Oryctolagus cuniculus: one gene and its partner. The protein of the gene in region 2 purifies or fractionates together with the protein of the main gene of each other region. This does not show direct contact. Links are inferred from orthologs where the notes say so. Each region holds a gene or a part of one and is shown on either strand. Other genes may lie near its edges.

Region 1 (4,333 bases), on a different chromosome or scaffold from region 2:
GGCTCCTGCCATCAGATCAGCGCGGTGCGCCAGCCGCAGTGCCCTGGCCGCGGCGGCCATTGGAGGGTGAACCAACGGCAAAAGGAAGACCTTTCTCTCTGTCTCTCTCTCTCACTGTCCACTCTGCCTGTCAAAAAATAAATAAATAAATAAATAAAGCATCCCATATGGGCGCCGGTTCAAGACCAGGCTGTTCCACTTCCAATCCAGCTCTCTGTTATGGTCTGGGAAAGCAGAAGATGGCCCAGGTCCTTGGGCCCCTGCACCCACATGGGAGACCTGGAAGAAGCTCCTGGCTCCTGGCTTCAGATGGGCGCAGCTCCGGCTGTTGCGGCCAATTGGGAAGTGAACCAGCAGATGGAAGACCTTTTATCTCTCTCTCTGCCTCTCCTATCTGTGTAACTCTGAATTTCAAATAAATAAATATATCTTAAAAAAATAAAAGACTTCATGGAAAGCAAAATTAAAAGATTATTTTTATGCAAAAAAATTAAAATCCATGCAAAAATACAAGCTATCAATTAATAATTGTTAGCTAATTTGCATTGAGCCAGGTATCACACATTGATTCAAGCTCTTCATTTGAATATTCTTTAAAAAATTTACTCATTTCTTTGTTTGAAAGGCAGAATACTCAACAGCCAAGGCTAAGCCAGGGCAAAGCCTGGAGTCAAGAATTCTATCTGGGCTTCCCACATGAGTGGCAGTAACCCAAGTATTCAAGCTATCATCTGCTGCCTCCCAGGCTTATTAGCAGGAAGCTGGATCAGAAACGAGACATCCAGAACTTGAACCAGGCACTCTAACATGAGATGCAAGCATCCCAACCAGCAGCTTAATCCACTGAACAAAATGCTCATCCTTGTTTTAATGCCATCTATTGAGGTAGGGTTCCATACCTGGTCCTCATCTACTTACTTCTATGAGTACTTCTTAGATATTTATTAGGAGTCACAACAAAAGTATTTGTGTATGTAGGTTTTTCAAAAAGATGTATTTATTTATTTGAAAGGCAGAGTTATAGGGAGAGGGGGAAAGAGAGCGATCTTCCATCTGCTGGTTCACTCCCCAAATGGCTGCTGGAGCCAGGAGCCTGGAACTCCATGCAGGTCTACTATGAAGGTGGCAGGGACCCAAGCTCTTGGACCATCTTCTGCTGCCTTCCCAGGTGCATTAGCAGGGAACTACATTGGAAGTGGAGCAGCAGGGACTAAAACTGGTGTTCTTATGGGATACAGGACCTGCAGACAGCGGCTTAACCCACCGTGCCACAAAGCTGGCCCTGCATTTTTTTTTTTTTTTTTTTAAAGATTTATTTGAAAGGCAGAGTTACAGAGAGGAGAGAGATAGATCGTCCATTTGCTGGCTGGGGCTATATCCAGGAGCTCCATCTGGGTTCCCCATGTGGTTACAGGGGCCCAAGGGCCCACTGCTTTCCAGGCACATTAGCAGGAAAACTGTCAGAAGTGGAGCAGCCAGGGCTCACACCAGCGCCCATATGGGAGGCCAGTGTTGCAGGCAGCAGCTTAACCCATTACACCACAATACTGGCCCCCACAAGTTTCTCAAGTGATTCCAACTGACCCTAGATCAAGAATCACAGTTCATTCTGAACAATTCCATCTCTAATTGTCTTGCACTTAACTTTCTCAGGCTCAGCACAGCTATTCTGAGTTCCAGACTGAACCTGGTTCCCAAATCTGGCTGCCCATCAGAACCACTTTAGTTTTTGAGACCTACAGAGTCTCAGTGCTAAGCCTCCTTCCAGTTCTATTCTAATTCAGTAGATCCAAAGTAGGAAACAAGGTCGAATGAAAAAGAAAGCAGCTTGACACAAGTATGTTAATGGTCACTAGAATTAAAACATCCCAATGATAACTTAGTTCCTTTCCCAGTGTAACTGGTCCAACAGGTTTTGGGACTCAGGCACCACCTGGCCCATCTGAGAGACCTCATCAGTTATCCCAGTTTTTTCTTAGATCCCGCCTTCATCTTGCTTCCTTCTCTCTTTTCTTGTCTGTGTTTATTGTCTTGTAACTTGCTTGACGGATTCACTACTGCATCTCCCGTATCTAGAAAAACACCAGGCACACAGCAGCAACTCATTAAATCTATGCTGAGGGGCCCACATTGTAGCCTAGCAGGTTAGGCCACCACCTCCATACAATCCAGAAACACCTGGGCAAGGAGGGGGAGTGATGACCCAGCAGGAGGCCTTGATGAGGCTGTTGGGCCCTAGCTTGTTGAAGGTATTTGGGGAGTTAACTAGCAGATGGAAATCTCTCTCCCTCTCTCTCTGCATCTCTGCCTTTCAAATAAATAAATAAACCTTAAAAAAGAAAAATCTACGCTGAATGATTGAACCCCAAGTATTTTAATTTCAAAAAGGTAAAAAAGAAGTCTCCTCTGCAATACCTGTGACTGCTGTAGTTTAAGTTCTTTGCCAGATCTAGGTTAAGGTTTGATTTAAGAGGTGACAAAAGATACGAAGTGAAGAACAAGATGTAAAAGAGCTGGTATACAGAGGGGTGTGGACTCTGAGCTTAAGAATTCAGAGAGGCACCACTTACTGAGATTTTCTACACGCCTTTCTCTCCCGCAGCAGCTTAAAGACTAAACAGATTAGACAGAACCCCGTCTCCCAGTCACCAGTTGCAAGGCTGTCAGCAAGCCACTTCATTTGTTTTCTCGTTTATAAAATATGAGGATACTAAGAGTACCTACTTCACAAAAACGTTAAAGATGGGCGCACTGCCTAGTTCGCTAGGGAGAACCTCAGCTGCCCTGCTCCAGCCCTCAGGAACCTCCCCAGAGCGCCCCCAACCTTCGCAGGCCCCGCCCCCGGCCCACCCGAACCGGGTCGCCCGCAGTACCTGATCCGTAGCGCACGTCGTGGGAGTGCAGCCGCACGTTGTGACGCGTGTTGAGTAGCTTCACCACAGAACCGCAAGTAACCACAGCCAGATTGGAGGCTCCCACAGCGCTCCACAAACCCCCGAACACCAGCAGCGACGCGACAGCCATCCTCGCCGGACCGCGCAGCCCCTATTGAGGAAACCCCGGTACCTCCCCGGAACCGGAAGCTGGGGGAGGAACCACAGAGAGAAGGAAGTGAAGAAGCCCTAGGCTGGTCTTTATGGTGCCTTTGGCTAGAGCGGCCTGCGGAACGCTCTGGGCGTGGTTACTTCCAACTCTCGCTCTGTCTCGGCGGCTGTGTGATAGCTACCTTCCTGAACCGATTCCGACAGCCCTCGCGCCCCGGGGACGAAACTCCCGGGAACGGTGGGAGTAGAGAGCGAGACACAGCCCGCCCACTCCCGGTGACAGGGAGCCGGAAGTGACGCAGCACGTTGACGCAGCGGCGGCGGCGGCGGCGGCGGCGGAGGCGGAGGGGCCGTGCGGTGGGTCCGGACTATCCTTTCCCAGTCTCGGTTCGCCGACTCCATTTTCCTCAGCGGGGGCTTAGCGCACCGGAGAAGCGGCGGCCGTCGGACAGGTAAAGTTCGGCGTGGAGCGCGTGTTTCTCGCTCTAGGTCAGGAGGGAACCAGGCTGCTAGGGCCTGGTCCCTTAAGAGAGGAGGCACTGGGGAGCCGTCTGCGGGAAGAAGGGGGCCCCGGCCTTCCCTGCTCTCTGAGGGGGAGGGGGCAGGAAAGCAGGGGAGTTGGGGAGTCTCAAGGCCTTTCCCAGCCCGGTGGCACCCAGAACCCGTGAACCAGCTGGTCTGGTGAATCAACAGGCTTTGCTGGGATCCGGTCCTTCTCCCAGCAGCTTCCGAAAACTGGGCCACGCCAAAGGGTTGGGAGGAAGGGACCCGGGCTTCTCAGCCTGATCAGGTCTGAGGATGCGAATCGTGTGGCGCTTTCGGCAGCTCGGCCATTAGGCTAGAGGGCTATGCCCAATTCCAGCTCTTTCCATATTGTTGAGTAACACAATTAGAACTTTTGGTAGATGGTCACATCCTTCAGCCCTTACTAAAGATCAAAGGTCTTGTTGAGGTGCGGTTCATTTTCCGTAGATTTTTTTTTCAAACATTGCCGAACGTCTGTCATGCACATCAGAAAAGGTTAAATCAAAACTTTATTTGCTGCCGGTTTCTGCCTTTCTAGGCGCTCGCTTGAATCGACTGGAGCCGTTCATTTCCCTTTTTGCAAGAACTGACGCTTATTTTTCTTTGGGAGATGGCCTAAAGTCTTCAAAAATACTTTGATGAAAATTCACTGTAATATTGGAAGCAATAAGGGAATATTAAGCTACAGTGCTGTTAACAGACATGGAGAATGTAGACAGTATTGGGTTTGATTAATTTCCTGGGAAAAAAGCCTAGTTCCACTG
Region 2 (4,557 bases):
TTCAAGTCCTGGCTGCCCCACTTCCCATCCAGCTTCCAGCTAATGTACCTGGAAAATCATCAGAAAATGGCCCAAGTTGTTGGGCCCTTATACCCATGTGGGAGCCCCAGAATAATCTCCTGGCTTTGATTTAGCCCAGCCCTGGCCATTGCTGTCATTTGGGGAGTGAGCCAGCAGATGGAAGATCTCTCTCTCTCTCTCTGTAACTCTCTCAAACAAAATAAATCCTAAAATCATGTTGCAAATTAAAAAAAAAAAAATGCCCACAAACATCTGCTCCTTCTGCCAGTCATTTGAGCCATCAAAATTTGCTCTAAAAATATTTTCTCAGTAACAGAGACGGCAAAGTTATTCACAACAGCCATAAAGATTTAGCAGTAACAGTCATTTTATTGTTTTATTTAAAATATGTATTTGAGAGAAGGAGGGAGAAAGAGAATGAGAGAGAGCAAGTGTTTCCATTTGCTGGGTCACTGTTTGAAGGCTTGCCAACAGCTGAAGTTGGGGCAGGGCTGCGGTTAGGCGCTGGGGACTCAACCTAGTCTCCCATGTGAGTGGCAAGGACTCAATAATAATTTGAGGCAGCCTCTACTGCCTTCCAGGGTCCACACTGATGGGAGGTTAGAACTGGGATCTGGAGCCACACATTAAACTCAGGCACTGCAATGGTAGATGGGGCCTTCTTAACTGCTAAGTCAAATGCCCGCTCTCAACTAAGAATTTTAGGGGCCACCATTTTGGTGCAGCAGAGTAAGCTGCCAGGAGCAAAACTGGTATCCCATATCGGAGTGCCACATGGGAAACCTGGATGGAGTTCCAGGCTCCTGGTTTCCACCTGACCAGCCTGGGCTGCTGTGGCCACTTGAGGACTGAGCCAGCAGATGGAAAATCTTACACTGCCATTCACGTGAATAACTACATGTTTTTAAATGATAATTTAAAAATACACCAGGGAAAAACGCTCAGGATGTCAAGCTCCTGATGATGCATGACAGAATTTTTTTTTTAAATTTCAACAGTTCTTGATTACACTTTAGGAAATAAAATCATTTAATTATTTCATGTGTTAGTTTTTAAAATGATCACCCAGAGGGATTCCATGAGTCTTAATTATGGGTGTTCTTCCTCTAATCTCAGAATGTATACTTCACATCTCTTGAGATAAGAACCAAACAAACAAAAGAAATGCTAAAATTCATAGCAAAAGGGCTAACAGTATAATGAATGGGGCTTACTTAGAAGGTACTTGATATGAAAATGGTTAAATGGCAGCTCAAAAAACGCAGGAAAAAGATGGCTGGTATAGCTCAGTGCCAACATTATAGTCAGGAGGAGCCCTTACCAAGAACGACGATTTAAAGCACCAGTAGCAACGGTAGTTATAACAACATTACAGTGCTCAAGAGCTGCCTGTATGAATAACCAAAATTCAAAGCTCCACTAGTAACAATATTTATACTGATGTTTTATTAAACACCTTACTTGCTACTTTAAGTGTAAAAATTACTAACAAAAACATACTAAGGAAAAAAATCAGAAAGCACTATCTAGAAGTTAACTTCTCAGAAATTGAAGATGTTTAAAAGGAAAAACGACAACAAAGTCATTTTAAAATCTTTTAAGAGATTAAGAAGCACTTAAGGTCCTACCAGGTAGTACCTTCCCATTTAGAATAACCTCTAAATTGCTAGAAACTGAGGTCTGCTCTTCCTTGCATCCCAAAATACGACCCTGGCACACCACTTCCTGGGTTGCCAGGTTTTTAGGGTCCTGTTAAAGCCTGGGAGGACCCTCAAGAGCTCACCTGTTCCTAGTGCATGCCTAAGGGTAGCACATTATTATTCTCATGTTAGAGACCAGGACTTAGCTGGGTCCTTCGAGGTTACAGAGTTCACAAGTGCAGGCTAGAATCCCAGTTCACCACCTGTTGGAGAACTTCTCTTCCCGCTCAAAAGCCAAGCCAGCTTCTCCAGAATGTACCATGGAGAGAGACAGCGGGGCATGAGGACGGCTTAGGCTGACCGGCTCCGAAGCTGGGAACTACAAGGCTCTCCAACGGATCCGTCTGCTTCCTCGACCCCAATTCCTTCAGCCCCTGCAGCTTTCCCACTGCTCTGCTCACTCGGCCCGGCATGACGACCCTCTCACTTTAATGCCAGCCTCCCCGTGGTTCCTTGCAGGCTCCGTTTTTCGGTTCAGTAGGGCACAGCGACTCACCTCTTAAATCTCTGCCTGGCAGTCACCGCCGGGCGCCCCCTTCCCTCTCTAGCACCCGGCGACACTGCTTCCGCTCACAGCCCCCTTCTCCCCCTCAAACTCACTCCGCCCCCCAAACGCCGTCTTTGGCACTGCATCCAACTCCCACTCCTCCGGGCGAATTTAGCTTTATGGAGCCTTTGGATCTAAAGCCCCTCACGGGGATCACGCACAGCTCTCCCCCCGACCCATTAGCCTGTCCCACGCTACCAACTCACGGCCGTCCCGCGGCGATGCCCTCTCGCCACTCCCTCATCTGGCAAAGCCGCTTCTCCTACCGCCCCCTCAGTGCCCACCCTGCCGCTTCCCAGCGAAGGCTGACGCTCCAACCCCGGGCCCGCGGGTGCCAGTTCCTCACCCGGCGATCACGGCCCCGATGAAGTACAGCAGCAACAGGCAGAAGGTGCCCAGGTTCTGCGGGGCCATGGTTCCTCCACGCCGGACCCTGGCCCAAGCACTCCTCACAGCTTCCTCTGCCGCCGCGTCTGCTCACCAGCCCACGCGGCCCTGTGAGGCCGTCTTACGCCGGGGGCCCTCTCGCTCGGCCCGCAGAGACAGCTGGCTTGCCCCCCTCCCGGCCAGACCACTTCCCGGGAGTCCGAGTCCCGGCGAGAGAAGCCCCCAGCAAGCGAGAGCCAATCACTGGCCAGGACATCACACGCGGCCGGCACCTCAGGGCCAATCAGCACAGTACACTTCACCTCCGAGGCGGTGCGCGCAGCCAGTTACGCTTCAGAACTGCAGCCTCAGCTCCCGGCCAATTAGAAGAGGAGACGTCAGAGGACCGCGCCGCCGCAGGAGGCTCCCCGGTCTCCCCGGGGTCGTAGAAATCACGTAAAAGGCGGAGGGTGGGACCTAGAGAGGGCACCTGCGATACAGGACCCAATCGCCCGCCTCCTCGGACTTCCCACCAATCACGAGGCTCCTCCAGCAGCACCGGCCAATTGTGGGAGGGAGATTTTATCTCGGTTCGAACTCTTGGAATTTCATTCATAGGGAACTCCGCGCTGCAGGCCTGAGCTGAGGGACTGCGGCGGAATGGGCGGGGACGAGGACTCCAAGCCAACAGTACACAGGACTCGCTGCTTAGCAGATCTTACTGTAGGTTCTCATAACAACCCCGGAAATCGTCTCGGTTGCATAGACAAGAGGCATAGGACAGAGCAGCGGCCGTGGAGACAGACCGACTTAATTTAAGCTTGGATTCGTCTTCCATTACGCCGTAGTGGTGAGACACCCCCGCCCCAGTCTGAGCCTAAGTCTCTTAATTAACACAGCGGAGACAAAACACATACTGGCAGTGTTGGAAATTTTAACGGGAAATGTTTTTGTAAGACGTCTAGCACGCAACCAATAAAAACTTAGTACAGTCTTAGGGAGAATTCTTTGCCTTCCCCGCCTTCCTCCCAGTTTTGGTCATCACAATAAACGCACCACCTTGTTCAGGAAAAACAGAAACAGAAGCACCGGCAGGGTGCCGTCCTTGATCCCTTTCTTGCATAACTGATCCAGACTTTGAACCTGTCCGTCCGCTCCTCTGCATCTCCATGAATACGCCTCCGGGCCCACTCTGTATCTCTCACGTGGCAGGGCCTCCTAACAAGTCTCCTTGCAGCCACTCTATTTGCACCCAAATGGCTGTGGCCCAGGATGGGCCAGGCCCGAGCCAGGAACCTGGAACTCCATCAGGGTTTCCCACGAGGATGCAGGAGCTCAAACACTTGGGCTATCTTCTGCTGCTTTCCCAGGCACGCTAGCAGGAAGCTGGATTGGCCTGGCGCCCGTATGGGTTGCTGGTGTCGCAGGCCTCGGTTTAACCCACTGCACCACAACACCGGCCTCCCTCTGTTCTTAGTTTCTTAATACCTGTTTTTACCCCGTCTCACTCCATGTTTTTAAAAATCATGTCAAGTCATGTCATTAACCTGCTTAAAATTCTTGAATGGCTTTTTATTGCGCTTCAAACGAAACCCTAACTCTATTCTGGTTTACAATCCTTATATGATCTGTACCTTACCTATTATACTCTTTACTTTATCCCCACAAAACTGGCTTCCTTTTTCTTTTTGAACACACCAAGAACATTAGTACTTTTATACTGGCTCTTCCCTCTATCTGAAATACCCTTCACCGTGACCTTAACTTGGGTAACTCCGCTTAAAAATTTGGATATTAGCCACCTAAGGCTGCCCTGATCAACCAATTAAAATTAGTCCTTACTGAGTTCCTTACTCTTACATTGCTCCTTTTTTTTTTTTCCTTTTTAAAGATTTATTTACTTGAAAGTCAGAGTTAAACAAA

The links.
Region 1: the proteins of DNAJB11 (region 2) and SDF2 purify together in Homo sapiens (affinity purification with mass spectrometry; 3 studies listed by BioGRID and IntAct, counting the BioPlex papers as one, with this or other methods). This does not show direct contact. The link is inferred for Oryctolagus cuniculus from reciprocal best matches to the Homo sapiens genes DNAJB11 and SDF2.

Annotation. Positions count from the first base shown.
Region 1 is NC_091448.1:44,160,181-44,164,513, forward strand, and holds the start of SDF2 (stromal cell-derived factor 2), read right to left. Parts: upstream 3,086-4,333; 5' UTR 3,025-3,085; coding exon 2,874-3,024; intron 1-2,873.
Region 2 is NC_091435.1:96,285,478-96,290,034, reverse strand, and holds the start of DNAJB11 (dnaJ homolog subfamily B member 11), read right to left. Parts: upstream 3,030-4,557; 5' UTR 2,683-3,029; coding exon 2,615-2,682; intron 1-2,614. UniProt on the Homo sapiens protein: As a co-chaperone for HSPA5 it is required for proper folding, trafficking or degradation of proteins.